2 linked regions of the Oryzias latipes genome follow. The protein of the gene in region 1 purifies or fractionates together with the protein of each later gene. This does not show direct contact. Links are inferred from orthologs where the notes say so. Each region holds a gene or a part of one and is shown on either strand. Other genes may lie near its edges.

The links.
Region 2: the proteins of ubiquitin carboxyl-terminal hydrolase 36 (region 1) and dhx33 purify together in Homo sapiens (affinity purification with mass spectrometry; 5 studies listed by BioGRID and IntAct, counting the BioPlex papers as one, with this or other methods). This does not show direct contact. The link is inferred for Oryzias latipes from reciprocal best matches to the Homo sapiens genes USP36 and DHX33.

What each region holds. Positions count from the first base shown.
Region 1 is NC_019866.2:10,394,359-10,410,738, reverse strand, and holds ubiquitin carboxyl-terminal hydrolase 36, read left to right. Parts: upstream 1-966; 5' UTR 967-1,094; intron 1,095-4,179; 5' UTR 4,180-4,192; coding exon 4,193-4,445; intron 4,446-4,530; coding exon 4,531-4,752; intron 4,753-6,424; coding exon 6,425-6,535; intron 6,536-7,300; coding exon 7,301-7,403; intron 7,404-7,483; coding exon 7,484-7,551; intron 7,552-7,690; coding exon 7,691-7,761; intron 7,762-7,879; coding exon 7,880-7,962; intron 7,963-8,073; coding exon 8,074-8,185; intron 8,186-8,903; coding exon 8,904-9,044; intron 9,045-9,222; coding exon 9,223-9,323; intron 9,324-9,398; coding exon 9,399-9,537; intron 9,538-9,618; coding exon 9,619-9,981; intron 9,982-10,068; coding exon 10,069-10,293; intron 10,294-10,596; coding exon 10,597-10,718; intron 10,719-10,801; coding exon 10,802-11,410; intron 11,411-11,602; coding exon 11,603-11,808; intron 11,809-11,960; coding exon 11,961-12,143; intron 12,144-12,241; coding exon 12,242-12,357; coding exon of another isoform or gene 12,358-12,361; and 4 more. UniProt on the Homo sapiens protein: Deubiquitinase essential for the regulation of nucleolar structure and function. Required for cell and organism viability.
Region 2 is NC_019872.2:21,235,913-21,252,827, reverse strand, and holds the start of dhx33 (putative ATP-dependent RNA helicase DHX33), read right to left. Parts: upstream 11,327-16,915; 5' UTR 11,176-11,326; coding exon 10,965-11,175; intron 10,815-10,964; coding exon 10,654-10,814; intron 8,686-10,653; coding exon 8,458-8,685; intron 7,518-8,457; coding exon 7,347-7,517; intron 7,227-7,346; coding exon 7,041-7,226; intron 6,387-7,040; coding exon 6,275-6,386; intron 4,715-6,274; coding exon 4,555-4,714; intron 4,456-4,554; coding exon 4,367-4,455; intron 4,287-4,366; coding exon 4,159-4,286; intron 3,012-4,158; coding exon 2,808-3,011; intron 2,740-2,807; coding exon 2,653-2,739; intron 1,451-2,652; coding exon 1,142-1,450; 3' UTR 1-1,141. Other genes in the region: histone H2B 1/2, read left to right, coding at 15,273-15,647; uncharacterized protein LOC101170117, read left to right, coding at 16,259-16,567. UniProt on the Homo sapiens protein: Implicated in nucleolar organization, ribosome biogenesis, protein synthesis and cytoplasmic dsRNA sensing. Stimulates RNA polymerase I transcription of the 47S precursor rRNA.

The sequences.
Region 1 (16,380 bases):
GATTTTTGTACATTTTATTATTAAATAACAAACTCTGTTTTAAAGTTCTGTCTTTTGCCCTTTGCGCCTCATATATTAGGATGGGAAAACTAAGAAACGTTGGAGAATAACTAGATTTCAGGCAGTGATGCTCAGGTAGAGGTTTACTTCTCAGTGGGTACTTCAGGCTAAAAACAATATTAACAATAAAAGGTTAGGAATAGGATTTTTTCATAAAGTATTTAAAACAAGTTTAAAATAGTTTTTTTAATCCAAATTGTGTTGCTTTATTGTATGTTTTTCCCCGTATTGTTGTAATGCTACCTCAGCTTTTTGCATTGCTGAAAAGTTTTATAAATTGCCTCTTTTTTTATAGCTGCCAGGTAAATAAAACTGCTTAGTTTTGTTAGGAGAACTTAGCCAAAAAAAACTAACATTTCACAAGAACTACATAATGGAAAAATGATTAGAAACCAGGAAAACACTTAATAATACATTATTTTGGTTAACTGCTGCCATCTAGCGGAGACATGCAATGTAGCACTCAGACGTCCACGAGGCAGTCCATGTGCACAGATAACAGTTTATAAAACAAGTCTCTGGAGGTTTAACCATACAGATTGTTTTTTTTAACCAGGTGTAATTACACTACTATGGAATTATAGAGAATCAATCGACGTCAATTCATCTTTAAACTTAATTGGATGTCCACATTTGCTCCTATTTTGAGGTTTGCCAGTAAAAATAAGAAGAAAAAAGCGTGCAAAAAGGCAGCATTACTATGGAAGGTTTGCCGGATGGATGCACTCTTAAAGGCCTTGATGACCTGAAAACATTTGTCTAATATTTGTCGTGCCGAGTCTATCAAATGATAAACAGCGAAGACTGGAAATCACGTGTTGTCCTCTGCCAACACTTCGACGTCACCGTTGGCGTCTATTCGCTACACGCTTTCATTTCAACGTGACCAGGGGCGTGATTGGTTCACACTTCCTGTCTGTCAAAACTGACCCCGCCCTCTCATAATGCAGCATGGGCGAAAATACCAGAATCGGTAGAACCACTTGAAAAATTGGACCTCTTTATTGGTATTTTTTTAGCTGATTGAAGAACAGGTGAGTAAACAAACCCATCCGTTCGTGGAAGGTGTGCTGACTCTGCGTGTTCAGACCAGTGTCGTCGAGGATAAATGTGAAATCTTAGTCGGAAAAGGTGTTAGCCACCTGGGCTCTCTGATGCTAACCCACATTGCAGGATTGCAAGCTTTGACTCGCCACGCTAGGCTAGCTCGCTAGCTAGTTTGTCACTTCTACTGCATTGGGTTCACAGATGCTAGCTAACATCGAGACACCTAAACGGTTTGAAGGGAATAATTTAGACTTCCGGAGAATTTATAGGTTTACATCATTCCCGCCTAACTTTTAAATCCCAGATGTTGACAACAACCGCTTGTTGTACTCGTGTTAGCATTTTAGCATGAGATTGTTACTGAGCTCACCTTATCAACATAAAAATAAATAAAATCAGTAAATGAATACACTAACTTACCAGTAAGTTTTTACAATAATAGAAAAGTTAGCAGTTTTCAAGTGATGCTAATAAACCTTTGGTTCCATTAAGAAGTATTTTGAAATATCTTTTGATTATTATTAATAAGTAAACTCTTTGCTTTTTACTTTTGTCCAAAATGTATCCTTATTCCCGAATTTTATCAAAAATGATGTTTTAATTTATATATCTCACTCAATATTTCCATAGGTAGCTTTAAAGAAAATCTCCATCTGTTTGTAAGATTTATTAAAGCTTTTTTACATTTTTACACGCTTGAGTGGACAACATGATTATTGCTTTACCTTTCATTTGTTCTTTTTAATGCATGCATCTCCTGTAAAAGCCACTTTTTCTTACACACCTTCACATTTCATTCAGAATTTTTGCTGCATTTACCTCAATTAGCTCAAAACTGGTATATTTCTACGAAATAAAGTGATTAAACAATGTTTTAAACATAGGGACCTATAAGGGAATTCATTAGTATTGGGAAAAAAGAAGAAAAACTAAACTTTTATTTGAAAAAAAAAAAAAGATATGACCACAAAAGGATTTTGACAGAAGCTCATTCATTTGCATGAATCATCTAAACTTGGGAGAAAGTTTTTCCTTTTAGCCAAAAGAGCATAAAACATTTCTTCCTCATCCTGCCAAAAATCAAGTGTTAAAGACATATTGCATAGAATTTAATTTTTTTTGCCTCTACATCAAATCTTAAGGTTTCTATGTTCTAAACGTGTACCCCTTTCCTCCCTACCAATACACACTCAAAGGCATGAGTATACAGTTTGAAGACCGCCGTCGTGAAGACACTTGAGTTTTGAGTACAAAAAAGGTCTTTGTCATTTGTTTTGTTCCACAAGCCTGCAATCAGGGCTTCATGGGTAATTGGTTTGAGGGAAAATGGGAAATCGGGTTTGAGGTCATTAAGACATTCAAGCATTAAACATAGATAAAAGCGTTCAACCTTATAGAAAACAGCGATCCATGAATATAACTCTCACAGTGAGCTGAATGTTGGGTATGTTTGTAAGATTGAGGGGGTTAAAAAATCTGCAGAGCCTCATCTTCATTTCAGTGTGTGTTCATGAGGTTCAGTTAAAGCGTGTTCTGATTAAACGGCATGTTTGCGTTTATTCCTCGTTCAGCAGTTGCATCCCTCCAGATGGCTGTGTGTCCCTGTAGGCTTTGTTCTTAGTTGTATCAGCAGCATGAGAAGGTCAGTGTGCCCTTGTGCATACAATACATGCTTCATCCCTCTTTGTGACGTCACTGCCCTCTCTGACGAACACATTTCTTGGGGAGCTGCTTCATTATACCCCTAAAAATCAGCACGATGCAGTGTTTCTACTCCCCCAGCGTCATCGAGAAATCTTATTTTCATTAAAGGGACTCTGAATGAAAAGTAATCACTGCATTCAGTTTGGCAGAAAATACAGACGCTGTTCTGAAAACCAGGTTTGAGAGCTCAGCATACAGTCTATTTCTGCTGTTCTGGTGATTTATTAGCATCTCAATGAAAACATGACTGTCATAAAAACAGTGGCATGGTTGAAGGGGTTTTGTCAATATCTTCTCCACTTCAGTCCCCATCTTTTTGACTTGTGATTCGTGGCGCCAGCTGGCCTCAGAAACCCTCCGTGTTGTTTGTGCTGCAGCATCAGATGTGCTTTGATGAGGCAAAGAGCGTTCAAGCTTTCAGAGTCAATAAAATGCAGCTAAACTTGAGAGACATGTGAAAATGTCTCACTTTTTTTGTTTAATCAAAACAGAAAAGACAGTATCAGTTTGGGCTTTATGACTTAGAAACTGGTTTTGATTTGAGTTATTTGTAATCTCCTGTTGCCATAAGGAAAAATCATAAAGAAAGGAAAAGTCTGTTTGAAGAATTGTAATTATTGTAAATGTTAAATTATTTAAAGCTTTTGTTTGTCTTCTCATTAGATCCTACACATTGTACAGCTCCCCCTAGTGTTAAAAGGTGGAATCTTTTTTTTCGCCATACTTCCTGTCAAGGTTATACATGAGTGTAAAGCAATGGACCCCAACTTTATTCAGGCCATGGACCTGTTTAATGTCCAAACTTCCTGTCTTTCTCTCTCTCTCTCTCTCTCTGCGTTCTGGCACAAACTGTTTTTAATGAACTGGTATCGGTCTGCAGCCTGGGGGTTGGGGACCGCTGATGTAAAGGAGAACAAAATACATCTAGTTCTGGAAAAAAAAAAACACAGCAGTATTGGTTCAATGCCACAGATACAAAAAAGGTTGTATCGATGGTGAAACATTTCTTTGTCAGGTTCTCTCTACTGTACGCCAGACGAAGATGTCCAATCCCAAGCCTGCGTCTTCCAGGTTGGGTCAATTCTAATTGGCCGAAGGTTAACCAAAGTGGGGGATGTTGTGTGCACTAAACACATGGTACCTCTTTTTTTCTAGCACTGCAAACAAAACCTGAATAAATTAATGTCACACTTTTATTGATCACAAAGAATGTGTTGAAATGGCTGTGACAAGCTGTGGGAGGGAAATGTACACAACCCTATTGTAGACTGTTCTGAGTGGACCAAAGGGTCAATGTTACATTGTAGTTCAATTGCAATGATGTAGTCTTAACAGCCCATAATACTCACCGGCTTACGTTCTCCTCAGTGATGGTCCAACGATGCCGATAGTGGATAAACTCAAGGAGGCGTTGAAACCTGGTCGAAAGGACTCTGGTGAGGACGGGGATCTCAACAAGCTGTTGGCATCGTCTGCCAAGAAGGTCCTCCTGCAGAAAATCGAGTTTGAGCCGGCCAGCAAAGGTTTCTCCTATCAGCTGGACAGCCTCAAGAACAAGTATGTGATTCTGAATCCCAGAAGTGAGGGCGCCACGGGGCAGAAGGCGTCCGAGCCTGCTCCGATAAAGAGGCAAGGTAAAGCTGGTGAAACTGAACATTTTAGATAAAGAAATTTTCTTTGGCTGTTGAGCGCTGACAGTTTGTTTCCTTGCTTTGTTAGTCTCGGAAAATGTGATCTGGAACCAGAGTGACGGGATCCCCGCGCCGCAGAAGATGCTCTTTCCAGCAAACAAGCTGACTCTGAAGTGGGAGCGCGTGTACAGGGTGGGAGCTGGCCTTCACAACCTCGGAAACACCTGCTTCCTCAACTCCACTGTGCAGTGTCTCACCTACACCCCGCCACTCGCCAACTACTTACTCTCAAAGGAGCACAGTCGCACTTGTGAGTCCTTTCTATTGCGTCCCCTTTGCTTACATTAGTCTGACGGGGAGATCTCAAATGTGGCGTTTTTGCAAACTGGTGTAGCTGAAGATCACAGGATGGTCTGTCTGCTGAGTGAGGTGAGGTCAAATCAATGAAAAGAAGTGTGTGTGGGTGGGGTGGGTACATAGATTTTGTCTAGGTTCTTATTAAGCCTATTTTCTAACTTTTCATTTTAAAATAAGAAATGTGTATGCACAACAATTGTTGACGAGGCAAAATGTTCCTGACCTAATGTCTTTTATAAAGAATGTTTACTTCAACTTGACCAAGAAAGTGTGGGGCTGAATGAACATGAACCATTTTTAAGATAACCATAAACAAGTCAACAAAACTCTTTCTATCACTTTAAATGACTAAATCCACTGAGTTCTTTATCGCCATGCCTGGTGTGATGCACGTTCCAGAACTTGCAGCCTACGGCGGTCTTATTGGACTGTCGCTACCCGATTCTAGCGGATGTCCATCCACCACAGATCAGAAATGTCAAAACGGTGCAAATCTTGTGAATCTTGCTCCAGGCATTTTCTTTCACAGCTCTATTTGGATGTGTAAAAGACGTGGTGTCACAGAATTCCGGCACAAACAGGAATTCTTAATTTCTCCTCCAAGATCGATTTTCAAACGGTTGGCATTTGTGTGTTTTGAAAACACAGAAGGCACTACCAAAGCCAAGTGCCTGATTGGTCAAAGTTCATCCTGGTTTAACCTGTAATGGTTCGGTTTTTAGTAGGAAGAGCCTGAAAGCGATCATAAACACGTGCAAAGTGACACTTGAGCGCGGAAGCCTGGAACCCGCGTTTACGCAGCCTTTTTAGTGGAAGTGGTTGCTTGATCGTGCCTCGCCAAGGTCCGTGTGAATGTAGTCGAGGACTGAGCGGCGCTTCTTATTTGCTGGCAGTAACAAGCACCGACACACACAACTACAGCGCCCTCTGGTGGTTGTTTGTATTCATTTAAAAAGAATTACGGTACATACATGTTGGACCAACCAAACTAGGCAAAAAACAAAAATTGTGACCTATACTCCAAAAGATACTGTACACCAATCTGTTGCTACAGTCTGTAAAGATAGTTATCTCCATTGTGTTCATTTGCTGCTATCAAAACATTTTGTGAAACCTCCAGAGGTTTGGCATCTTAGTTTTCTTAACAGAAAAAAATCTGTCCATAGCATTTTTTTCCTTAAAGAACAGCCTTAAAAAGTAAACGAATAAAAGCAAAGAAAGTGACATTTTCTGTTTTTAACTGCTGACTAAAGCTGCAACTTAAGTGTCTCTATAATACTAAGCAATATTGATGCATTTAGAATTCAATTTTTAGACCTTTTTAGCAACACATTTTAACATTTTATATAAAACTGCTTTATCTGTGAGTCCTAGCTGATAATTCAGGCGTACTAACTATCTAAATAAATTTTACATCAAAACGTTTTTGTTGCATTGGGTGTTGATTTCTGCACCCTATTTCTCAACAGAGGAACTTCTCTGATGGCAAAGAAAAAAAAAGTAACATAAATTTATTTTGTTTTGTTTTTCTGTTCTTCTCAAAATGATCCTAAAGACTTGATGAAAGCAGAAATGAGTGTGCTGCTGCTTTCTTTGTGACTTTTACCGTCTCATGTGTGTTCCAGGTCATCAGTCGGGTTTCTGCATGATCTGTGTGATGCAGAACCACATCATCCAGACCTTTGCTAACACCGGCAATGCCATCAAGCCCGTTTCCTTCATCAGGGACCTGAAAAGTACGATTTTTCTCCATTTTTTCACCCACTCGTTTTAAAAGTAGACCATGTCAGGAGCTGGTAGCTTTTTTTTTTTCTTTTTAACCTTGTGGAGAGCTGGGATTAATTGTGAATTTCACCTTCACGCTCACTGCTCTACTGCGTACTTTCTCCCGGTGTCCTGCTGCAGTCGTGCACCCCCTCTATCCTCTCTGACTCCTCCTGACTGCAGGTTTAGGACAGCAGCTTTAGCTTTAGCCTTCCTCTGCTGCTCATTTTCACATTAACACAACTGATGGTTGCAGCTAGAAGCAACAAGCAAATGCAAAACATTTAGTCATCTCCCTCGTCCTCACTAATTCGTCATAAGCGCATCATTCTGTTTTCCCACTCTGAGGTGACTCCATTATCTTCAGTGAGTAAGGATGCAGTGCTGGGAATGTGAGGATCACATTAGAATGATGCCTTCACCATTAGGAAATCACATTGGAGCAAATGTTTATAGCTACATTAGCCGTAATGTGAGGCGTTTACTGTAAATGGGACACAAGGCTGCCGGAGTTATGAGTCACTGCTTGGCTGTTATTTCTGAAACACAAAACAGTGGAAGTTTTCTTGTAATCTGAGGTTGTGTCTTGAGAAAATGTTGGTTTAAAGTATTATATCAATATAAAAGCTTGTAGTTATTTAAAGAGCAATTGCACTGTTTATGTATGTCTACAAACAGTTGATCTTATTATGTGCAGTGTTCCAAAAACGTGTGATGCATTTGTTTTTTTCCAACAGAAATTGCCCGACATTTTCGCTTTGGGAGTCAGGAAGACGCTCACGAGTTTTTGCGGTACACCATCGATGCCATGCAGAAAGCCTGTCTCAACGGTTACCCCAAGTAAGGCTGCTGAGAAGATTTTACATGAGAAACCTGAATGCTGGTCTGACTTGAACCAACGGATTTCTTCCTGCTTGTAGGCTGGATCGGCAAACGCAGGCCACAACACTGGTCCATCAGATCTTTGGAGGTTACCTCAGGTCAAGAGGTATGGGTTCATTTGGTCCACCCTCTCTACTTAGATCAGACTTTTTTCTTACCAATGGTGATGCATCACTGAGCTCTAAATATTCTGATGATGATCTAAACGTTGTTTAATGTCTAAAAGTTTTTTTTCTTTTCCTCAGTAAAGTGCTCTATTTGCAAAAGTGTGTCAGATACTTATGACCCTTACCTTGACATCGCTGTGGAGATACGGGTGTGTAGCACAATATTTCTACAATAACCTCATTTATTCTTGTAAAGCTGATTAAAGTGGATGATTAAAAAAAAACAAAAAAATCGATCTTCAAGAACATTGTTCTGTTGTTTTCCAGCAAACGGCAAACATCGTTCGAGCCCTGGAACTGTTTGTTAAACCAGATGTTTTAAGTGGAGAAAATGCTTATATGTGCGCCAAGTGAGTTCCTTTTTCATGACCTGACACTAAACGCTGACTGGAGGAATAAAACAAAACTCAATTTTTTAAGGATCTATTCATTCAAATGTGATTTCTTTTTTTTTTTTAAAGGTGCAAGAAGAAAGTGCCGGCCACCAAGCGCTTCACCGTCCATCGAACATCTAACGTTCTGACCTTGTCGCTGAAGAGGTTTGCCAACTTTAGTGGAGGAAAAATAACAAAGGTTAGCCGATCAATATCAGTCCCGTGACAAAGGGGGGGGTTAACATGTCCACCAAATATTAGATCATTATGTGGGGGACTTTTCTAAAAGAGTACGTAGATAATCTGGTGTCTTTTATGCCACAACAGCAGTTATCTGGTAATAAGATATCCAATTAGCATATAGATTTCTCCCAGGAAGACTTCCTGTTTTTTTCCACTTATAACTAGATTTTGTAATTAAAGATGGATATATATTTAGTAGTTTTATACCTGCAAATGTGTGAACAAAATGAAGGAGGTGGAAGTCACATAACACCCCAGTGTTGCCGATCCAAGCAACAAAACTTTTTTTCTTTTAAATACAAATTGATGGCAGCAAACTGCTGTTTATTTTGCAGACATATTAGTTTCCACATTAGCAAAGCTAATAACTGGACATTTTTATGAAGAACAGATAGGCGGAGGTATTCAAAAGAACAGGAGGTTTGAAAGCAACATCATGCTTTATGTACTTAAGGTGTCCAAAGTAAATCGGAAGATTGACCCTCCTGTTAACCAGCGCTTTTTTAATAATCGTATTTTCATTGCCTATTTGAGAATATCTAATTACCATATTTTTAAAAAGACTTTCCTTTTTTATCAACAGGGTAATTAAAAAAAAAAGCAACTTTACTTCCTGCTCTGAATATTTTTCCTTGTTTTCTTTTTTTTTTTTTTTTTTTTTTTTTTTTTTAAAGGATGTTGGATACCCAGAATTCCTCAACATCCGCCCCTACATGTCTCAGAGCTCCGGTGATCCTGTCATGTATGGCCTCTATGCTGTGCTGGTGCATTCTGGGTACAGTTGTCATGCTGGCCATTACTACTGCTACATCAAGGTATGTCGGCCACCTCAGCCTGAATTATTTAACGATTTCAACCTTAATGGCTTGTCACCTGTTTAATTTTTTAGTTTTTAACTTTAAAAATAGTTTTAAATGCAGATTAATAAACGGTTTGGCTTTTATTTAAACAGCTGCTTTGGATCAAAATTTTCTCTAACTTTTGTTATTCTAGGCAAGCAACGGGCAGTGGTACCAGATGAATGATTCAATGGTGCAGTCGAGTAACATCAAAGTGGTTTTGAACCAGCAGGCATATGTGCTTTTCTACCTGAGGTAAGTCGGTGAGATCAAAAAAGATCTGTGCACTTCCTGTACTATTAAAGTAACCAGAGTTTGTGTGTAACGCAGGATCCCTGAAACTAAGAAGACTGCAGATGGACAGACCACCAAGACGGGGATGTTGCATTCTGGGAAGAATAATGCATCGTCGGAGCAGATTAAGAGAGCTAACCTAAATGGGCCTCTGTCCTCCCCACAGGTCACAAAGGTATAAGAGAAAAAAAGAATGAACAGGATTTCGGTGTTAATGAGGACGTTTATTTCAGTAGAAGTCGTTTCTTCCTGACAGAAACTTGAGCCTGCACAGCTGAGGAAGATTCAGTCCATGGACAGCGGCTTGGGTTTCCCCGTTTTCAGAAATGGTGGCAATGCTCAGCTGCAGCCAAGACTCCCCAACTGGACGAACGCTACCAACGGTCCACCAAAGCTGGGGAGTGGGCCCACCGTCATTGAGGAGCCTTTCAAGAAGGTGAAGAAGCCCAGCCCTCAGGGCCAGGTGCAGTCGCGCAGCACCACGCCCACCCCTTCCAACAACGGGGTCAGCCGGATGGAGGGGGATAAAAAAGCGGGTGGGGAGAGCAGAGGAATGGCAGCATCTACCTCATTCAAGTCTTTGTCGGACTCCTCCTCTGCTGACACCTCTGAGTCAAAGGTGCAGCCATGAAGACTTTTTAATTATTGTAGGAGGGAGATCGTAAGCCTAGTTTTTTTTAAAATTTGTTTTCCCTCTTTTGACCAGGACTCCATCGGTACCAAAAGTGCACCAGCAGGAGAGACTCCCTCCACTCCTCGGAAGGGATCCAGCAGCCTGGCTTCTCCGGCCAGAAGCTCGGATCGCTCGCAGAGCACAAAAGAGCAGAAGATGACTAAAGTAAAACCCCCAGCGCTCAATAGCATCGCATCTGAAGCCACCAACACCATGTCGCCTCCACCTGCCAAAAAACTGGCCCTGTCAGCCAAGAAGGTCATTTTTTATCTGCCTTATTAAAAAAGCGGTCTGTACTACCATGGAAATGTTTGATTTCATGTAATGCTGTTTCTCCAATGTGCTTGTCTAATCTACCATGTAAGCATTTCTTTTCTTTATTTTTTCTTTATTTCTAATTCTTGTATTTCATACCTTTCTTCTGTTTTTTCTTTTTCACTCCGAACATAACTCCCGCCATCCTGTCACCCCCCCCCCCATATGATTTTCCTCTTTGTTTTTGTCACAATCATGGTTATTTTCTTTAGACCACCAAGTTTTTATTTTTGTCGATAACTGCAGGCTCCCAGCCAGAATCGGAGCACTGATGTTCTGTCCCATTTGCCACACCGGCTGTCCCGTGACCCTCTGCATCGAAATCAGTTCAATTCCTTCACCAGTGCCACACCCAGCCATACACACGGGTATGAATCTGCTGGTACTTTAACCCTCGATTATTGAAGGCTAAAAAAAAGTCCTTTTAACATATTTAATTCATCTCTTCCAGGGCGGGTCCATTCCATTCGCCTAAAACTCAGTCACTATCCTCTGGCCATTTCTGTGGATCCGTACAACAGCCGAGCCTTCTTGTTTCAGACGCCAGCCCGTCTCATAAAACCAATGGTTTTCACCATCCAAGCCCAAAGAGTCCAAAGTCTTCCAACAACCCCAAAATGATTACTCAACAGTCAGATGTTTCCCCCCAAGCTCCAGAAGTGAGCCAGAAGCAGAAGAAGAAAAAGCGTCGGCATTCTGAAGCGGAGGATAAAACCGAGCCGGAGACGTCCTCGACTCCCGTCACACCTTCCAGCCCTCTGGAGACGGCGAGCGAGAGGAAACGCAGGAAGAAAAGGAAAAAGCGAAAGAGGGAGCGTGAGGAGGAAGAGAAAATCCAGGAGGAGGATTGGTGTCAGGGTGGCTTATGGAGCCTGACGTCTAAATCGGATGCAGAACCCTCCAAAAAAAAGTGCCAGATATCTAACGTGAGCCCGAAAGCATGCGAGTCAGCTGAGGAAGAGCAGCACAGGGAGCTGGTGAGGAAGAAGAAAAAGAAGAAGAAAAAGATCATTCAGGATCTGGAAGATTCTCTGCAGGAAACATCTGAAAGCTCAAAAAGGTTTGCTTTTATTTTAATGTCTGTGATGTAGGCATCTATTTGTTACCATGGCAACCAGCTGTTTAAGATGCATACTAATGACAAACATAATGCATAATTAATCTGCTCATCAGAGGCACTAAAAGTCAGGTTTTTTCTTCTTCCAAGAAATGCATTCATTGCATTTGTTTTTGTTTTTTTTTTTACATTCAGGAATCTTGAGATGAACACCACAGACGTTTGTAATGACACACAAGACTCCGGATTGTTGAAAAAGAAATCAAAAGTAAAAAAGAAGCGGCTAAAAGAAAAGGAGCGACTGAGGGACGAAGGCGAGGAATCTGCTGCCTCTTTGCCCGCGAACCCCCCCTGTGAGCCTGACGCCTCAGAGAACAGCAGAACGAGCAAAGAAAACACGAGTATGTGATCAGGAAGTCATTTCAAATAAAGGGTTTTGTTTTCAAGTTCAGCTTAAGCTTTGAATCATTCAAAGCAAGGACATTTGAAAGAATATTGGCTCCAAATTGGTATTGGCTTTTAAATGATTCATCTTTTGCTGTCTTTTTCATAGAAGGGGGTCCAGCCTCTGTGGTGATGTGGGACAGTCAGATAAAGGATGTTTCGAAGCGCAGTCAAGCGGATGGGAGTACAGCAGTAGATGCTCCCATCCGTGTGGCCTGGGATGGGAAAAAGACGAGCAACGTAGTTGAGGAGCTTCTCAAGAACTCCTCGGATAAAGCTTATGGAGCAAACGGTGAGGAAAAGGCTCCAATTTTCTAAACCCGATCACAGAATCTGTTTTGGTTGGAAATCATAGTTTCAAATGAATATTCTGTCTTTTTCCTGGTCTAGTCCTCACCTGGGATGGTGAGGTGTCTGCTGTCAGCAGGGATGCCATTGAAGATGTCCGTAATGCCAAGTTCGACACTGTGATTGATGAGTGGGATGAAGATTTTGACAGAGGAAAGGTGAGTTAAAAAAATGACCGAAAAACAGTCAAAAGAATCATGATCACAATTTCTTTAACCGGTTTTTTGTTGTCTTTTTTTTTTTAGGTGAAAAAAGTCAAAAGCTATAAAAGTGAGAAGTGGAGGAACGGCAGCAACTTCTTCCAGAAGATCCAAGACAGGCGGAACAAGTGGTCTGTGACGCTCGGAGGGAAGAGGGCGTTTGGTGGCAGACGGTGAGGGCGCGGAACGCCGCTGACCGCAAATCTGGAAATCGAAACCAAGTTGCCAAACCAAATGCGTCTGTGCGTGTGCCAGCTCCAGGACGCTCGACGGTCTGATGGACAGCACCTTCATCTCTGAGGGTGAACAGAAACATCAGGAAATGTTTTCTTTAGTGGAAATCTTTTGAAGTCCGAGCATCAAATATTTCAAAGGGAACCTGTGATCATCTTGTCTAAAAACTGTAGGTCTGCTTTTTTTAAGGCTCAGTTTTTGGTCCTCAAATTGTTGATATGAAAAAGAAAAAAACGCAACCCAGTTGTAAGGAGTTTATTTGTGTTTTTGTTTGTTTTTGACTTTTTTCCGTCTGAGCAAACTGCTGCAAAAGCAGCAACAGTAAAGGGCTCACAGTGAAGAAGTGACCTTTTATTTTGAAATCCTTCATATTACACAAATCATAAATTGATTTAAATCTATATTTAACCTTTTTGGTTATTTTATTTTTTGCCTATATTTTTAAGTATTACTTTTTATTACACTTTTAGCAAAACCCATAATTATAATTTAGGTGGTCCATGTTTGTGTTGCTCCTTACCAGCCTTACTACACTGTGCATTAAGGTTTTACGGCAAACCCGGATGGTGAGAATTGTTTTAAATGCAGTAACAGACTGAGTTGTTGATGTCATCAATCTCCTATCAAAAACTTCAAATCCAGAGTTTCCTAGAAAACCTTCTTGATTCCCATCTTTTTCTCTTTATGCAATGTTCTGACCCTCCCAGAAACTGGGCTGACACTCAGGTACCCAGACCCCCTGTACCTCACCTTTAGCCCTCTCTCTCTGGGCATCCATGCCGCATCGTGTACATTTGTGTATAAACTGTTTTATACAAACTATTTCAGGAACCACAGGATCATCCTCCACCACCACGGGCACATATTTGTAGAAAAAGGATCAACAAAAGCTTTGTAGACGACTGTACAGTCCATCTTCTATCTGTATTGCTGTAAAGATGCATTTCTTTTCATTCTAGAGATGTTGCCTTGAATTGGCCATATACAGTGTAGAATTTAAGACTATAAATATCTAATTTAAAGGAAAAAAAACGGATCTTAAATGTGCTAATAATACTCAAAATAGTTGGTGGATGTTCACTTGAGAATTTCTTTTGAAAATGTATTTGAGAGTTGTTTTCATGTCGCCCTGGACCGAAGCTGTTCAGATGTTGAGTTTGTTGGAAAAGGAGGCTGTGACTTGTGGTGCAGAGCTTCATGCTGGAGCAAATGAACTCTCAATGTTCTCATGGAGTCTTGTATTTTGCACCAACCTCTCTGATCAGGAGGGAGAACTTTCAAAGTGAAAGGCCCTCTAGCCTCAATATAGTTACCTGAAAAGGTGCAATAAAGTTGTGATTTTTTTCGTGTGTGTGTGTGTGAGTTTCTGCGTATTGTGTTTTAAGCAATGTCAGAAAAGCCAATCACTTACTGTATTGGGTTGTCATCAGGCCTTTTTGTCACACTAAATACAGGTTATCAAATCTCGAGATGACTTCTAAAGTGAGACTATTTTTTTTAGAGACAATAGACTGTTTTCTACGAGGTCTAAGCAAAAACAGCGGATCTCCACCTGATTCTATTTATAGATGCAGCATTTCTAAAAACTAAGTTATAGAAGTGAACATGAAGATTTCACATGAAATGGCGAAGTTCACAAGTCAGTGAAAGTCCTGACGTGTGTCCAAGTACTTTTTCTTAGAAGTCAAGGTCTATTCAGTGTCTAAATTAAGGCTAAATTTGTTGTTTTTATTTGTTCCTAGTTGAATTCAGTTCTAGTGTTTTTGACCAATCTGCTTAATCTGAAGTCATTGTTCAATCCAGAGTCAATCCATAAAGTAGACACTCGAGGTATTTTAGACCAGTTCAGTGTTCGTCACAAGTGTAGTTTGAAGGGTTTACTCAGGATAAGTTTAAACTCAAGTTTTTTTGTTCCAAGTCGAAGTTGATTCAAGAGTTTGAGAGGCTTTTGAGTCGAGGTGTTTGTCGGTCTGCATTCATTAAACTCTATAAAGATAATTTTTAATTCAATTTCATGAAATTTGTTTCAGGAACTAAAGATAATTCAGTCTGTCACTCAGAATTCAAATATATCTAAGTGATTTTTAAGAAAGAATTATCTATAAAGTCTGGGAAAATATCTTTCACATGAAATGTTACACATTTGCCCTATTAAATGCTCACTGTACCTCTAAAATTAAATCACGAAAACAGAAAAATAACACAAATAGTTGTCTTTTTTTGTACAAAGTATGGAGCAATTTCAGTAAAGTAGCCACAGGTTGTTGCTGCAAGTTTACAACCGCAGTTTAGCCAATCACAATCAGTCCTTAGAAAGTACGTGGCCACATGTTTGCACTTGGCCCACCGGCCGGACTTTGGACATGCCCAATTAAGGGACAGGTCCAATGTGTGGGTAATAGTTTTTTTTGTGTGTGTGTCATTTTTAAAACATCTGAGAGCTTCAAACATGCAAAACAGGATTTCTTAGACTATAAGTGAAAAATCCTCATCTCAGACGAAAGTGATCACATGCTGGAGGAGGAGAGTCAGAGCAGAGGAAGGAGAGAGGAGGAGGAGGAGGAGGAGGAGGAGGAAAGCAGGTATCCGGATCGCTTCGGGCGCTCGTGCAGAGACATCCCCGCTCAGTGACGCCTGCAGCGGCAGAACCACCAGGATGGACGGGGAGAACCAAGGTTCGCCTTTTGTTTTTAATCATTAATCCTTCAGACTAAGCTCAGGTTCAACCTTAACACGAGTGCACGCTTTTTATTTATGTATTTATTTTTAGCACCGTTTGTTCCAGAGACTGCTCCGCTTTCAGCAGGAACGGTTTGAAATTTGGACTCGCTTTCTGTTTTATGAAGTCCGGGAAGGTGCAATGCCACGTTTAGCACGGGCTGCTTTAGAAACAGGTGGCTAAAAAAAAAAGACCTGCATGCTGAATTATTGAGCACATCTGCAGCCCTGACAGCACTGTAAACTCCTCACGTGGCTCCTGTCTTTATTATGCATTCATATGTCACGTCAGGTGCAGCCCTGATGGATCTGCAGGGACCAATCATTTCAAATCTTGACATCATGCATGATGTCAGACGGTGATGAGCCAGCGGATGGCTCCCACTGTCATCCTCATCTCAATTATTCAGCAATTTTTAAGACTTTCTCTTTGCTTGATGCATCCCAAAATAGATCCCCCAGCTCTGGCCTCATTGCAGAGAATCAGCTGATGTGATGTTGAAAAACTTATTGAGCAACAAAGTAATTATGTATTTTTGTGTACGTGTTGGCAGTGGGCCCTGAAGCAGAACGCACCTTTTTTTAAATTATTTTTCATTTTATCTAACTGGGATGGTCTCTTTCACAAAGCATCAGTCGATGATTATGTAATTATCAGAGAGGGGTTGGCAGTGAAAGGCGAGACGTGGTGAAGCTGTCAGAACATTAAAGTCACACTCACTGTCACTGACACCTCCTTTAGCAAACCCACAGCCGGGGGAAGAGGAGGAAAGAACAGTAGTGCGTCCAAATCCTTGCAGATTTCCATGTGCCGCTCAGATCACAAATGTTTGCTTTACCAGCATTGATAAGCTGGTTTCTATGTGTTTAGTTCAGAACATTTATGAGGAGTATCATGCTGTTCTTTGCACTTTGCTCCTGGGATGTTGCTAGGAGCTGCAGCCCAAAAGCTGCTATGGGATTAACAGGGTGCGGCTATGTTTGAAGACTCAAAGGCTTTTAGTTGCATGGTGTCTAAATATCTTTTTT
Region 2 (16,915 bases), on another chromosome or scaffold:
AACATCCTATTTTTGGTTTTATTGCCACAGTATTAAATTCTGCTTTACTGCTCTCTCTGCAGCAGCAGCAGTCTCACTGCATCTCTGTCGGCAACACAGAACCGTTCTCGTTGAAAAGAAACAACCCCTTTATGTTAAAAGGCTTTTGTAGGTCATCGTTTGCGTTAAGACAACTCATTAGAGACACTTGCTGTCAGTTTAAACCATATTCACAGATTGGGACTTCCCGGAATATCTCACTATCTTAGCTTGTCTGAACTGTTTTTCTGCACCTCCTGATCAAACTAGCGGTGCGATAAATTGTGGTGAACAGTTCATGATATGCAGACTTGAGCAGAGGATTTGTCTGGAATAATTCACTGGAAATATAAAGCGCTATTTATAATAAGAACAAATAAAATGTTGGATCCCTGGTCAAGAGACAGCATCCGACTTTGATCGATTCATAAACCATGTGAGGTGATTGGACCCGATTTCCGATCATGTGATTGGATCGGGACATCCCTAATTCTTTATAATGCAACAACCCTGAGTTAAGTCAGAACTGCAGGCAGCCTGCTTCCTTCTCTTTTGGTCAGTTGTTGGACTACAGCGCACGTCAATCAGCGGTGGGCTGGTGACTGCTGGGATCTGAATGTTTTGCACTGCTGAGTAGAAAGCTGGCTACGCCATTACGCTGTACTTGTTCTGAAGCAGAAGCCTCAGAAAGAGCTGTTTGACAACCGCCCAACTACAGAGCTTCCTTGTGGCCATTAGGATATACCAAAAAAGCCCTTAAGATCACCTGCGTATTTTCCCAAACTGCCTTGAAAGCAACATTAGATAGATAGTTAGATAATTCCTGCTGCAGGTTGAATAGCATTTTATTGTAAAAAAACTGAAACGGAGAATTCCAAATGGAGTCCTCTGTAAACTGTGTTCCTGATAGGTTTTGTGCTTTATAAAAGCATGCAAACAACTTTAACAAAACATCCTTTTCAGGTGTGTGCAGGAAGCCTCAGCTATGAGGCTTAGATGTGAAGTGCAACAGCAACACATGCTAGATCCATGCCAGCTGGGAGGTAGAGGAGTCCAGAAAACTCTCAATTGAAGAAAATATTCTGCTCTGCTTTGCTAACGCAAAGTTAAAGCTGAAGTCCTGTTAGGTCCTGGTGAGGTGAAGCTTGCGGCCAAAGTACTCTGGAGCTGCTTCCAGCAGCCAGTCAGGATCTACCAGACACAGGTCTCGCATGTAGCAGCGCGAGGTGTGCAGCAGCTCGTTGAAGATCACGTACGCCGGCTTGGCCTGGAAAAGGACGGACGATGGGTGGATGGTCACGGGTTGGTGGGTGTCCAGAGCCAGATAACTGCCATCAAGCTGCAGCTCTGCCGCGTTGAGAAACATCCCATGGGCAAGGCAGCGGCGAACACTTGCGGTGTCTGAACCACACGACTCCAGCTTCAGGTTCAGCTGAAAAAAGGGGGGGTCTTCAGTGACAGGAGCTTCATTATAGTTAAAAAAAAACAAGTTCCTGTACAGACTTCAGATTTTGTGCTCCAACTACAACATTTTAAACAAACATATTTCATCAGTGATTGGGAGGAGTTAAATACTTTGAGGCTGACCACAATGGACGGAAAAAACGTTGTCTTTTCTTGACATGGTTAAACCATTTGTAACATTTAGTATGTATTTACTATGGTGGTTAAAACAAATACCCACACTAGCATGTGCATTTATTTGGTTTGCATTTGTTGCAATGACAGCAAAGTCAGACCCTGAAATGGTCTCAATGTCAATGTTTTGAATGCCAACATGTGCTTTTTTCCACATGTGCTTGCCTTCGATAAACAGTTGTACGAACAGTTTAAAGACCCACTCTGATTATCTTTTAATCTGTTGTTAGTTATGATTATGCCATTTTTAACCATAATCAAACAACCCATGTCGTTTTCTAGGACATAGTTTCTGCAGAGCAGCTGGAGTTCATTAGAAATTCACCCCTGAGTTGTAGTTAGAACTGTTGGCACGTATCAAGCAAGACCCCACTTCCCATTACCCAAACTGAGGTCTATCTGTTTACACGCTCTCCCGCTAGTGTGCAGCCCATCACACCAACCTAACATTACCTGTGTAACAAATATAGCGAGCAACATTGGAGCTATCATCCAGATTCCAGCTCAGACTAGGAAAACAAAGACGTTCATGGATCTATTTGTCTGCAAGTGGATGCATCAGAGTGGAGCGAAAAGCACATTTTTTACGTCACAAATAAGCTCTTTTTCAAACAGATTTCTTTTCGTCTGCTCCTGGTTAAGAACAATTTGAGTAAAGAAATACTCAATAGTGTGCTTAATTACCTAGTTTACAAAGTACCAAAAAAGCTCATTCATCCTTTCTAAAACTAACTTGTTTTGCTGTTCCAATCAGTTTTCTGAAAAAAAAAAAAAAATTCTTGCCAGACAGAAAATGAAGACTTCATCACTTTCATTTGACTCAATTTTTACATTATGAAACTGGACATGGAGTCTGGGAAGTTTACTTGAAGACCTCCAGCATGCAAACAGACTAAAAACATGAGATCAGCTCTCCTCCTAAAACAATTATAAAAGATGCTCAAAATAAATCGGCATTTTTGAGTTCCCAGGTTTGCACTGTGGGTGCAACTGTACCTTCAGACAGATGTCTCTGAGCTGCGCCTGGACGTCCTTTACCAGACCCATGTTCCTGCTGTTGACAAAGTTCTCCCGACACCACTCCTTCAACAGCAGACCTTCATCAGGAACGTGATCATTCTGGTTTCAAATTTCGGTCTCGCCACACTCACCTTATTTCCACTGACTTTCTTAAACGCTCTGTATATGTTCAGCAGTGTCATGTGATCTCCCTCACTGGTCATGAATTTCTTGCGTGCCGCGAGCACATCGTCCCGCCGGGCCGGGGGGTTGTAGAGCACAGTGTCAACGGACAGCAGACACACGATGCTCAAGATCTCCTCAGAACAGGAGTATTCTGGGGACAATAGGATGGTCTGCAGGGGGGGAAAAAAAGTTTATTTGGTTTTGGAACAAAATTGAGCCCAGCGGTGTCTGCAGCTAACTGAAGTTTGAACTAGTGGGACTTTAAATTTGGTCACATTCAGGTTATCATGAACTTTATAAGTTTAATCAACATCAGGTGTGGTTTTTCCCTGATTGGATGTCCGTATCATCATGTGATGGAAACTGAATCAGACCAGGAACACAACTCTACCTAAAATTTAAGGTAGACGTGTTCTCCCTCACATCTGCCAGCACTGCAAAAATGGAATCTTAAGAAAGTAAATGAGCTTGAAGCCCAAGAAAGCGAAGCAGAAGTCTTCTGTTCGCTCCTGTCCTCAGGAGTGCAGCTTCTCTTGGACTCCTGCACTGTCCAGACTCCACATGGATCAACTGGAGCTGTTAGCAGCATTTCTTGCTCTTCAGCACTTCTGTGACGTTCTGAGTGGTGATCATGTTTTGATCAGAACAGATGCCACAATTCATCTGGCAGACTTGGACGTACATGAGAATTCTAGAGTTACAGACTGTACAGTTATTCTATTATTATTTTATTCAAATTTTTCCTCTTTTCTTCCCTGTATATTTTGTGTCTGTGTTTGTCTTTATCCCCCTATTTCCTTAGTGCTGCTACTGCAACTAAATTTCCCTTCGGGGATTAAAAAAGTTGTTCTTGAATCTTGAATCGTGTGTGTTATCACGTGGACATGTCAACTTAAAATAAAATAACAATTTTAAAACATCTATTTTGAAAGTGCAACTGAAGTTTTTATTTTGAAACTCAGACCCGTTTCCCATTTCCCTGGTTTGTTGTCGCAAAATCGACAAGTTGGCGGACTGGAAACAGAACTCCTGCGTAAGGCTTGCATTGTGTTACGGCGAGTCAGACGCAGACTGAGGTGATGTAAACATTCTGACTGATTAATGAAATTTCTATTTTTTGAGTCAATGCTTTAGAGACGGCCTGCAGACAGACCAATGTAAGTTCATCAATGTAAACTTTAGTCCCACCAAACCCTCAGTGTGCACACCAGCCTCATAAATCCGGGACGGGCAATTAATCGATCGATATATTTCCATGCAAATAGCTGATAAAATCTTTTTTGGTCCTCCAAGTTAAAGCAGAGTGAATCATTGTACCTTGGCATATCTAGGCTCCAGAGGAAAGCTGGCCATCTTCTTCCCCAGCGGGGTGAGAAGAACCTGCCCCTCCCTCTTCTCCACAGCTCCCAGCAGCTCCAAATGGTCGACAGCAGAACGCACAGCCTCTGAGACAAACAAACACACCTCACTGCCACCACATCTCCTCCTGTGCAACCACATCCGTTCCTGAGCTTCATCCGCCTACCTGGGGAAGGCTTGGACATGAAATCAAAGTTCATCACATCTGGAATCCCCAGCGCCATGAGTTGAAGCATCACGCCTGCCAAGTTACACCTGCAAGGCACATGGCGGCATTCAGTTTGTGTGATCTAAATGCAGAGACCATGCAGGAGCAGCAGCTGAAAACACAGCAAACTCGGTTTTATTCCCTACCTCTGGATCTCCGGGACAGTCATGGGGAGGAAGTTGTCAAACTCCTGCTCTGTGTACAGACGGTAGCAGAAGCCAGATTCCTCCCTGCCAGCTCTGCCTGCTCGCTGCCACGCCTGAGCCTTTGAGACTCGCTGCACGGCCAGCACCTCCAAACCACTGTCTGAGAGCCACAGCACAGCCACACTCAACCATCATCAGCATCGAAAGAAATGTCACTTTTCAGTGGCTCATTTTACCAATATTGATCTGAAACATGCACACACCAATTGTCTTTTTTTATTAGAAATCTTTAGTGCATTAGTATAAAACTGAAAATATTTCACACAAATAACCAATTTTACATCAAAACCTCAAAAGAAATTGACATTAGAGAGATTTTATCATCGATTGTGCGTGATTTTAAAAAGGATTTTCTTGTTAAAGCTCCAAAAGTGACTTAAAATAACCATCAAAACCATTTCTAATGATGGAAAAAGACCAGAGGTTTTTTTTAGAAGTTTGTAATGTTAGGGGAAGTTTCCACAGTTCTGACTGGGAGTGCAGAAAAGGCCTGCATGGAGCATCTATGGAGCTGCTGTCTGTGTCTGGATGCACGGATGGGTTTGTTCGCTGCAGATTCAAACCCTGTTGGTTCACAAAGCAAGAAGATCAAAAGCCAATCTGAAGAAATACATGTCATGTTCAAGGATTCTGACTGAAGGGAGTCCTTCTTCCACAAAAAACCTCCTGTCTGCTAAATTATTTTTAAGTAAAATAACACAATTCAGATATCTCTCCTTTGATCTTTAGCAGATGTTTGCATCTGTATGACCACTCAACCACTAGAATGAGCCGTTTTCGAAGCTACATGTGCCAACCACATGTGTGAGTCAGGATCTTTATATAAAGATTATCTGATAATTATTGCTGGACTTCAGGGAAACCTGAGATGGCTCCAGATATTGATGTTAACTTTGTCTGAATCCCCAAAGTACTGGTACATTTCTGTCACAGCCATGTGTTATCATCCAATCATTACAGTCTCCCCCTAAAGTTTTCTTTATTTTTGTGTTGAATGAATAGTCTGGGAGCAGAAGACACTAAAGCTGGCACTTAAGGCAGTGGTCCACAAGCCCCAGACTCCGGACTGGTACTGATCCGTAGGTCACTTGGTAAGGTAGCGCAGATAAGAAGAATATTACAAATACATACTTTAACTTAGAATATTTCGATTCTGTTTATTCCCTGATTCTGAAGGAAGTTTTGTTTTTGAAAAATACTGGATTCGGCTGCTCAGACCGCCAAATTAAAAGCCTCAATCTAACAAATGTAATAAAAAAAATAATAAATTAAAACGTATTTGGAGGGTAATAAAATTGTTTTTTTAATTTAAAAAATAGAGTCAGAAACCGGAAACATTAAAAAAAAAAAAATTAACCACCAACTTTTGCCCCATTTGGATCAGTCAGTGAAAATATTGTCTGACAATAAACTGGTCCGTGGCTTACAAAAGGTTGGGGACCCCTGACATGAGGGCTGCCTTATTAATAATTTATCTGATCAATATTTGGGGATATGAAATTATTTGACCAAATCTTCATAGGACAGAGACAAACACTATGCACTGATCTGATCAGTACTGAATATCCGTCAGAATTCCAAATTGTCCCAAATAACTAAAAAGACAAAGGCATAACGATCTTCTGCTACGGTCTTCATTGAGAAGGTGCAATGATCTCACCAGGGTTGAAGCGTTTGGCCTTCACCATCCCTGTGTCAATGACATATTTAATCCCAGAGATGGTCACAGATGTCTCTGCGATGTTGGTGGACAGGATGACTTTTCTGCAGCTCTGGACAAAAGCATGGAAAGCTTCAAAAACCAACATCTTAGAATTCAACTTTTATTGTAAAATCGTTCCATGGGGTCTTTCAATTACGATTATGCAGTTTTGAGCCAAAACAAAAAGCCTTTGTTCTGTTTTTTAAGGCATATTTTAAGCAGTGGGAGCTCATTAGAAATTCAATTCTGGCGCAGAAGTTAGCTGCACTCATTTATCATCTGCTATTTGTTTACACTCACTCCAGCTAGCTTCTAGCATCTCACAAGCCCAAGTTAACATTAGGGTAGCAAAAAAAACAAAAACATCAGAGCTATCCAGCCGTCCAGTTTAGAGCCAGATGGCAGCTCAGACAAGGAAAATTAAGATGTTAATGGATGTATTCGTCTGCAAGTGAATACTTCAGAATTGCAGCTGAGAAGGATGACTTTGTCCCGCACATGGCAACCTTTTTCAAACCGAGGGTTTTCATCTGCTCCTTATCCAATAAAATTTGAATAAAGAAATACTCAGAAATGCAAGCTTAAGCTTACTTTTCTTTATATATGTCCTCCATCCTGAGAAAAATGCTACAAGAACATGTTAAAAATGCTCAAAACGCTATTTTCATTGGAGTGGGTCTTCAAACAGAAAGGGTCCTTTTTCTGATCGTTTCCTGATGCTCACCTTGGGAGCCGGCTGGAACACCCTGAGTTGCTGCACTGGAGGCAGAGATGCATACAGGGGCAGAACCACCATGGACCCGCAGCCGTCGGGGACGTGCTTGGAGATGTCTCGACACGTCCTCGCCAGAGCCTCGATCTCCTCCTGCCCCGTCATGAACACCAAGATGTCGTGAGCTGGCGGTGCCTCCTGAACACAACAGAGACATAAAGAACCATCACTTCACATCAGCACTGTTAAAACATCTATTTCCTCCAGAGAAGTGCTTGTTATTGTAGATTTTTATGTTGGATAGATTAGATGGATTACCTGATGGATCTGGAAGATGGAAACTAGTGCAGCCTGAAGATAGTCTGACTGCTGATGCTTGGTGTAAAAGATCTGAATGGGGTGCTGCCTCCCTTCCAGGTATAAGACAGGAGACTTGTTGAAGTATTCAGAGAACAAATCCACATCCATTGTGGCAGACATCACTATGACCTGTACAGGGAAAATTAAAAAAATATATATAGGAAAAAGAAAACAGCCTTTCAGATGTCTGCAAGGAAAATTGGACAGTCACCAACACACAGGTATGGAGCTGCAACACAAAGAAACGAGACAGAAAACAGCCAATCTCAGACGAGACGTTGACAGCAAGTGAAAATTGAGCATTTTCTTAGTTAAATGCCAAACATCTTTCTCTTCCTAATAAGCCAAGAGATGGGCTGTTTTCAAGGAGTTCAATATCCAGAGGCAGACAAGACATGCTAACTGCACTAAGCTAATTGGAAAAGTGCAGGGTCTTTTAAGATGAAATTCATGGTAATTGGAGCAAAATAAATCTATTTTGGTGCTTTTCTGTTGTATGAGAAGAATTTAAAAGTATGCTTTTGTAATAAAATATCCATTAAATAGTTTGCATGTAATGTCATTATAAGGGTTCAATGCATGCAGGTCTGTGTGTTGGCCTTCACAAATATTTAATCAAAAAAAAGACACCCCCCCCCTCAACAATATTACCGGTAAGTCGATATGAATCAGTCTGTAGATATTCAACAGATGTTTAACATTCAATTTAATAAAAATTGTGAAAGTTATCTCTAAATAAAAAATAAAAAAATGATTTAAAAAAACTAAGATTATTTTGATAGCAAAGTCACAACATCCGGATACTTATAGAAAAACCCAGAACTAAAAGTAAAATCAGTGAGGTTATTCTATAGGATTAAGATTCAGTAAAAACAAAGTTAAAAAAGGTTTTAAAAAGCTTTTTTTTGGATAAAGCTGCTTCCAGGTGCACTTTGGAAACTTTGATTTTCAAAACCTTGCATCTTGTTTTCACACATTTGCTCTACAAACTCTTCCACTTCAGAGTAAAAGCATATCTATAGAAATACTCATGATGTCTAAACATGGAGGACTTGCATTGTCCTCTAACCTTCAGGGGGATCTTATTGAGCTCCCTCCGTCTGCGCTGCGCAGTCTTCACCACACCAAAGAGCACATCTGTGTGCACGGTGCGTTCGTGGGCTTCATCAAGGACTACCACAGTGTACTTCAGCAGCAAGGGATCTCCTATGGCCTCCCGCAGCAGCATGCCATCAGTCATGAACTTCAGCTTCGTCTCAGAGGAGGTGACATCTTCGAAGCGCACCGTGTAGCCAACCTGAACAGAAGAATTTAACAAACCTTTTTAGCTTTACATTGATATGTGTTAGCAGGCTCCTTACATGCTCCAGCAAGTTAAACGTCAAACTTTAAAACAGCAGCGAGCCTCAAACACACATCTCTACATCCACTGCTATATTAAACATACACTTTTAAAGGCCCACTCTGATGAAAATTGTGTTTTTAACATTTTTTACGTGTTCTTGTGGCATTTTTCAGTCATCAAAGAGAAAAGGGGCTACTTTGAAGAACCTACAATACGACATATTTTCAGTTATTTCACACTTTTTTGTTATGTATATAATTCCTCGTGTGTTCATTCAGAGTTTTGATGCCGTCAGTGTCACTCTTCAATTTTCAAAGTCATGAAAATAAAGAAAACTCTTTGAATGAGAAGGTGTGTCCATTCAAATTATGTGAATCGGGATCAGACGATAAAATGCAGTTTGAAAAATAGCTTGTGACGGAGAAAATACGCTAAGTGGGCAACAAGATCCCTGCTACGCTCCGTTCCAATGCTGTTAAGTTTTTGTTTTCCTCGCCTGAGCTGGAATCCGGCTCAAAACTGTACGACTGGATAGCTCCAATATTGCTCGCCATTTTTGTTGCAGCGGTGATATTAGGTTGGGGGTGTGAGGAGCTGTAAGCTAACGAGAGAGAGTGTAAACAGAGAGCTCTCTGCAACGGGGAGGGGAAAGAGGTCATTCCATGTCAATGGTCCTGCCCACAACTCAGAGGTGAATTTCTAATGAATTCCTGCAGCTCTGCAGAAACTATGTATTAGAACAGTGTTTTTTAACCAGTGTGCCGCGGCACACTAGTGTGCCGTGGGAGATGGTCAAGTGTGCCGTGGAAAATTGCCCTCATTAACTGATCTAAAAGCATTTCCCATCTCCAGGAAATCAGCTCTTTGTTCATCCAAACAGGTCCTGATAAAACACTGAGTAGTTAGGAATATAAACGATCATAAAATACTTTTTTCTTTGTGTTTATTTGATTCTATTAAAGACATTTTGATAAGAATGACGGTAACGCGAAATAGCTGCAGCTATAACTGTGTAAGGAAAAGTCCCGCAGCTTTTACTGTCTCCACGACTCCACCAATCATTCTTGAAGGCTTAATCACATGTCATCAGTCTGACCAATCAGAAGTGGTTAAAGTCTCCACTTCCTTGTTCTAATTTAGCTCATAACTCACTCAGTTCCAACAAAAACACCAGCTAAAGCTCGTCTTTAGCGGTGTAGCTTTCCACAGAATCCGGTATCAGACCGTGGAACAAGTGAACAAAACCATGAAGCTCAGAGACGCGAGTCTTTCTGCCGTTTTCTCGCAGTATTCACACTACATCTCCCATGATGCATTGGCTTAATGAGTCGTCCTTTTTACACGTCTTGAAAACACAACGAACATACAGTTTGTATGTAACTTAACTTTTATTACATCTTTTAGAAAAACATCTGCAACTTCCTGCTTTTTCTGCCACAATTATCACAAAAATGCACGTCAGATTGCCGGGGGGGGGGGGGGGGGGGGCGGTAGATCAAAACAGACTATGAGTTTCTGCTTTTTTTTTTTTTTTTGGATGCTGGTGTGCCGTGGGATTTTTGTCAAGGTTAAAGTGTGCCGTGGCTCAAAAAAGGTTGAAAAACACTGTATTAGAAAACAACACAGAGTTTTTGGTTTTGACTAAACTAGGAACACTTTGATAGATCAAAAGATGATTGGAGTGGGACTTTCAGAGCCAGGGCTCCTTATAGTTCCTCATTTCAATACAGATTGTGGGGATGGAATTGAGTAAACTACTTACACTATCTATGTTTGTCATTTCACAAACATTCAGAGTGAAACAACATAATTAAAGAATGGCTGCATGAAATTTCAGAGCTGTATTTTAGTGGTGGGATTTCTTCAGATCCTGCAGTAATACTGACAGAATGGAGATGACAGAGGAGGTCTTTTACATACCAGTTTGCCGATTTGAGTCCTCTTCTCTTCCGCCACCCGTCCTGCCAGAGAGATTGCAGCGACTCGACGCGGCTGAGTGATGGCGACCATACCCAGACGACCGATCCCGGCTTCATACAGATACTGCGGGATCTGTGTGGTCTTCCCAGATCCGGTCTCACCTGGTGAGGATTGAACATGTGTTCATTTGAGCGCCATTAACAAAAATGAACTTAGTCTAATCATGACTGCTTACTACTTGCTGTGGAGCCTGGGGAACTAGTAAGAGTTAACGTTAACTATGGCTAATGACAGTTAAGTAATAAATGTACCTATTATGATAGCATTTTGAAGTTGTCTCAGTTGGTTCAAAAGGTGCGGCTTTGCCTGGTAAATCGGAAGCTGTTTCCTTTGGACCTCTATCGGAGTGCTCACATTCCCCTTTTTTGGCAAAAGCATTCCAGGTTTATTCCTCTCCAGGCGGAAAAAAACAGACCCCGGCTTGAATTTTTTAGCCGGAGGAGGGTCGGGCTCGTGGGGCATGGTCTGCAGGAAGCCTCCAAGAGAACCAAACTTAACCAGCTGGTTTGTCTGGTTGTTATTACCTCTAGAGTGGAAGATTCGTCTCTAAAAGTTTTGTTTTGCGTGCCCACCAACACGCGACAGAGCGTCCCTGCGGATGTAGGGCGCCTTCTCAAAGACGTCACCGCGTGTTAACGCGGCGCACACGTTTGACGTCATTAACTCTACATTCTTTTTTTGTTCGGAGTGCATTTAAGACAGTTATAATAATCAGAAAAATACAGTAATTTAAAAAAGGGGCATGTATCTTTCCATTTACATAGATGAATGAAATGTTTACATAAAATAAAAAGCAACACCGATGACGTCAGAAATCCCCGAGGCCAGATTTTCCATAAAAAAAAAGAACACCAGGTAAAGAAATAAAAAAAAAGGAATATATAAAACTTTGAGTGACAACCAATTGTGAATATCAGTCCAAAATATTTTTATGTGGTTTCAACTGTAAAAGAGATGTTCTAACATTCCAGTTTCAAAAGAAACAGAATATGCATGGTTTCGATTAAAATTTGAATCTTTTATGTAAAAAATCTCCAACTGGGTAAATTTTAGATATTATTTTAAAATGCTTTTCTTTCATTTTAGGTGGAAGTGGGTACTTTGTGTATAAAGAAAAAGATTTGTCCATTAGGGAGATTTCTAGGTTGCATCTTGTTGCAGAATTTTTTGTTTAAAGGTTAGAGTTACTAATTAATTGTTGTATTTTTTATCTTTTAGGGGAATATCATTAATTGTCAGTTCTGGAAATTGTGGTTTGATTGCATTGTATTGTTGTATGTTATGAATAGGATTAAGTAAAGGCATTGGAATTGCTTTACAGACTTTATTATAACAGTTACTAGAATCCTTAATTTTGTATTTAGTTACAAACTCAATGTATGATAACAGCATTCCATTAGAACGCATCAAGTCATAGAGCTCTACATTCTCCCTCCACAGAAATTAGTGAAAACCAGATGCATTAACTGGGGAATTTTACAAACAATTTAGTATTTCAATTGCTCCTTTTGTAACGCAGGTTTTCTTAGAAAGCCTTAGCCAAGGAACTCTACCTCCAACACTGAATCAAGGAGTGATCACTCTTCTCCTATAACCCAAAAAAGACACTCTCAATATTGGCGCCCGATCAGTTTATTGAATAAGGATTATAAAATGATTGCCTCTGTATTTACTCACAGACTTAAATGAGTCTTGGACTCTGTAATTGGAGAAACCCAGTCAGGATTCATGCGCAAAAGACATTTCTAATAACATCTGGCTTGTGCTGGATATGTTAGATTGCTCACATTTAATAATAGACGAAAGTTATATTCTTTTTTTGGACTTTTATAAAGCTTTTGATTCAATTAATTCCACGTTTATTTTTAGCTGCCTTCACAAATTCGGTTTTGGCTCTTATTTTTGCAATGTAATAAAACTATTATACAGTAATGCTAACTGCTCAGTAAAACTAAAATATGGTACCTTTCCCCATTAATATTAAATGAGGAATACGACAGGGTTGCCCCATCTCGCCATATCTATTTTTATTAGCCACTCAGACCTTGGCAGATTACATAACTATAAATAATTTGAAAGGCATCTCTGTCTTTGGCAAAGAGATTCTCATAAGCCAACTAGCTGATGATACAACCATTTTTTTTATAGATAGCAGTCAAATTCATTAAGCCCTAAATATTGTAAAAGCTTTTTTATAATGTCTCTGGACTATCTTAACATTAAAAAATGTGAATTACTATCTATCGAAAATGACAAAACAGGATCTATATATGAAATTCCCATCAAATAGAGTCTAACATACCTAGGGATTACCATCGCCAAAAGCAAACTAGAGAGAAGTTCTTTAAATTTCAGTCCTGTAATAGAGAAAACCAGAAAAAGTTTTAATTTATGGCTTCAAAGAGACCTGAGCTTAAAAGGCCGAGTACTGCTGTCAATGGCAGAGGGAATCTCTCCACTCACTTACTCTGCATTATCTCTTTACATGGGCAATCAAACACTATAATCTGTTGACCAAATTTTGTTTAACTTTATCTGGAAAAACCGACTGACACCACCACAGGAAAAATCTGCTTTACTACTACCCACAAGAACAACAACAAAAAAATATGTACGTTATTTTAAAGGGATGTCATTTCTGTACCATGTACTAAAACCTACTGGAGATGTTTGGTTCCCGATAGTATTTGGATGGAAAGGCTGGAGTGTGACCCAAAAACTATTAATAAATAATAAAATGAAAGAAGTTTCTTTTAAAATAATTCACCAATCAGTTCATGCTAAGATACGTGACAATTGATCCTGACTGTACTTTTTGCAAAACACAACCAGAAACAATTAACCATCTTTTTTGGAATTGTACTCAAATTAGAATCTTTTGGAAAAAGTGTTAACAAATTTATCAGAAAACATATTCACCCCAACTTCACTTTGAAATTTGAATATATATAATTTTTAATATAACATAATTTTTGGCTTTCACAATAAAAACTTGGACTCAAGTAAAAAACTAATAATTAATTTTAATATTATTCTATTTGGCACATTTTATATTCATAAATGCTCATTTTCTTCATCTTCTATTTTTTTCCCTGTGTTAATCAAACAAATTGAAATGTATCTAACTAACATCTCTAAAAGTCCGAAAGCTGTATGTTTGTATGGAAGTTGTAGAAACCTCAATGTTTTTATGTAAAATGCATGTAATATGTATGCTCCCCTGGCATATTTGAAGTTTACTATGTAAACTGTGTTTTGTATTGTACTTCCGTTTTTTACAATAAAGTACAACAACAAAAAAAGAAATGAGTGAAATTAAAGAAAGAAAGAATAAAACTGTGAAGTAAGTAAGGAACCTAATTGTGACTTATATCATCACTTTACACAAAATGTACACAAAGAGTGGTCTACAAGAAATAAACACAAATTTATGAACACAAAAGTGAATATAATTATTTAAATAAGTATTTTTGACGTCACATTTTACTTTAAGAGGATTTCAACACTAACTGAAAAAATAATTTTAGATATTATTTAGATACCAAAAATGAAAATACATCTCTCTGTGACCTTCACATTCACACCATAATAATATATTTTTACTTGTTCTGATAAAAAAAATTGAATTGACAGAATCGTCATTTCTTCTGTATGCAAGCTTTGCAGTATGTGATTACTCTGCACAATGTGAGAAACCTTCTGGAAATTAAACATCACATAATTAACAACACAGAACTAATCAAATTTTCTTTCTTTTTTAGATCTTTTTTTTTTTTGGATCAGTCCTTTCTAACCAACCAAATGCAGAGAATTTTACATTAATGCTCATGTGGGGTTGTGTCCTTCCAGACATCCTTAGTATTGGTCCTCATTAATTCCTAACACATGAGATGAAATGTTATAACGACTAATTTAGATTTAGGTTTCCTATGAACACAGCATTTTATGTTACCTTTTGTAAAAAAATGAAAGCAAAAGTTTTCTTCTTTTTGCAAAGTATACTGGTTTTTCAAATTATTCAGATGTGTGCCAACTTCTGTTTAAAATGCACAGTTGTTCTTTACGTTTGCAACACATTTACTCAAAAGACCTCAACCATCTGAACAGCTGCCCCCTGTCTGAAGCGGGAGAAGTTGTGCAGTTGTTGTAAATCCTGTTGAGGTCACTTCTGGGCTATTTCGTTGTATAAATAAATAAAAAAAACATTACCTGATATGCATGTTAACTGTTAGCTGGTTAAATGAGAGCTGTGTTAAAGATGGTTGTTAATTAGAGACAAGATAAAGATTTTATGCAGTTAAAACTCTGGAAGTTAAATCAAGTTTATATATACATGATTAAAAATACGTGAAAGTTAACTTTTTAAGAATATATTGTGCTTTTACTAACTCCTCTGATCCACTTCCATGTTTTTCTGACATCTTTCTACTTCTCTGATGTCCTATGCGTTCAGCCAATCACTGTCGAGAGGCTGCACAGCTACATTTACATGGAACGAGTATAATTACAGTGACTGGTCTCCTTTGAATCACTCGGTTGCGTCAGTCATCTGATTCAAAATGCCCGAACCCGCCAAGTCTGCGCCCAAGAAAGGCTCCAAGAAAGCCGTGACCAAGACGGCCGGCAAAGGAGGAAAGAAGAAGAGGAAGACCAGGAAGGAGAGCTACGCCATCTACGTCTACAAGGTTCTGAAGCAGGTCCATCCTGACACCGGCATCTCCTCCAAGGCCATGAGCATCATGAACTCCTTCGTGAACGACATCTTTGAGCGCATCGCCTCCGAAGCCTCTCGTCTAGCTCACTACAACAAGCGCTCCACCATCACCTCCAGGGAGATCCAGACTGCTGTGCGCCTCCTACTGCCCGGCGAGCTGGCTAAGCACGCCGTGTCCGAGGGCACCAAGGCCGTTACCAAGTACACGAGCTCCAAGTAAACTCCTACTGCCACGAAAACCCAAAGGCCCTTTTAAGGGCCACCCACATCTTTTCCTGATGAGCTCTACCCTCTTACTTTAAATATGTAAGGATTGATTTGTGAGTGTTAAATCAGTTCTCCGGTTCACCAAGATTAAAAATGTAAAACACGAGGAACATTAGGGCCCGATGGCTAAGGGGAGCGAACAATAAACGTAGAAATAAAGCACTGATGCTTGTGACAAAACTACACGAAGTACAAAATTTCATTAGTCAATTTCAGATAAGGGATAAAATGTACAAAAGGGACTTTCAATGATACACCAGCACGGTGCACTGTCCTGATGCGCGTGCGAAGTCACTTCCCCTTTTTACAGTTTTAACTTGTCATTTAAACTTTCATAAATGAGAATGAACTGGTAATGTTTATTTGTAAACATTACCACAGTTTTCTTGTAATAGGAATACGAAATCTTAATTTGTATTCCTCGGTTTCGGTTAAAGCCTGTTCGTGATAATTTGCATTTGGCTCCACCCAGTCAACTTCTTTGACGTCCGCTGGATAGGAATAAAAAGCGGCTCTCACGTTTGTCTGTTATTTGTGTTAGACTTGTCTAAGTGAGAACACATCATGAGCGGAAGAGGCAAGGGAGGCAAAGGTCTGGGGAAAGGTGGCGCCAAGCGTCACCGCAAAGTTCTCCGTGATAACATCCAAGGCATCACCAAACCCGCCATCCGTCGCCTGGCTCGTCGTGGCGGCGTCAAGCGTATCTCCGGGCTCATCTACGAGGAGACTCGCGGCGTGTTGAAGGTCTTTCTGGAGAACGTCATCCGCGACGCAGTCACGTACACAGAGCACGCCAAGAGGAAGACTGTGACCGCCATGGACGTGGTCTACGCTCTGAAGAGACAGGGCCGAACCCTGTACGGATTCGGAGGTTAAACTGCAGCTCCAGCGACAAAAAACAAACAACGGTCCTTTTCAGGACCACCCACATGACTGACGAGCAAAGACCCGCTTCAGCCAGTCCAAGCTGTACAATTCAGACAAGTCAATACATCATCGATAACTTTAAAACTGGTTATGAATATAATGTAATACTATATATTACAAAAAAGTGGTTGTTATTCATCAGAAAACATTCATGACTTAAAGAGTAGAATGACACATCACGTGACAGATATAATACTCTGTTAAGTTGAGAATTTTGAAAAGATTATGGCCAAAATTAGAACTAAGAAGCAATTATTTGAAATCGTCCATATTTGTGTGAGAGCAAATGACTTA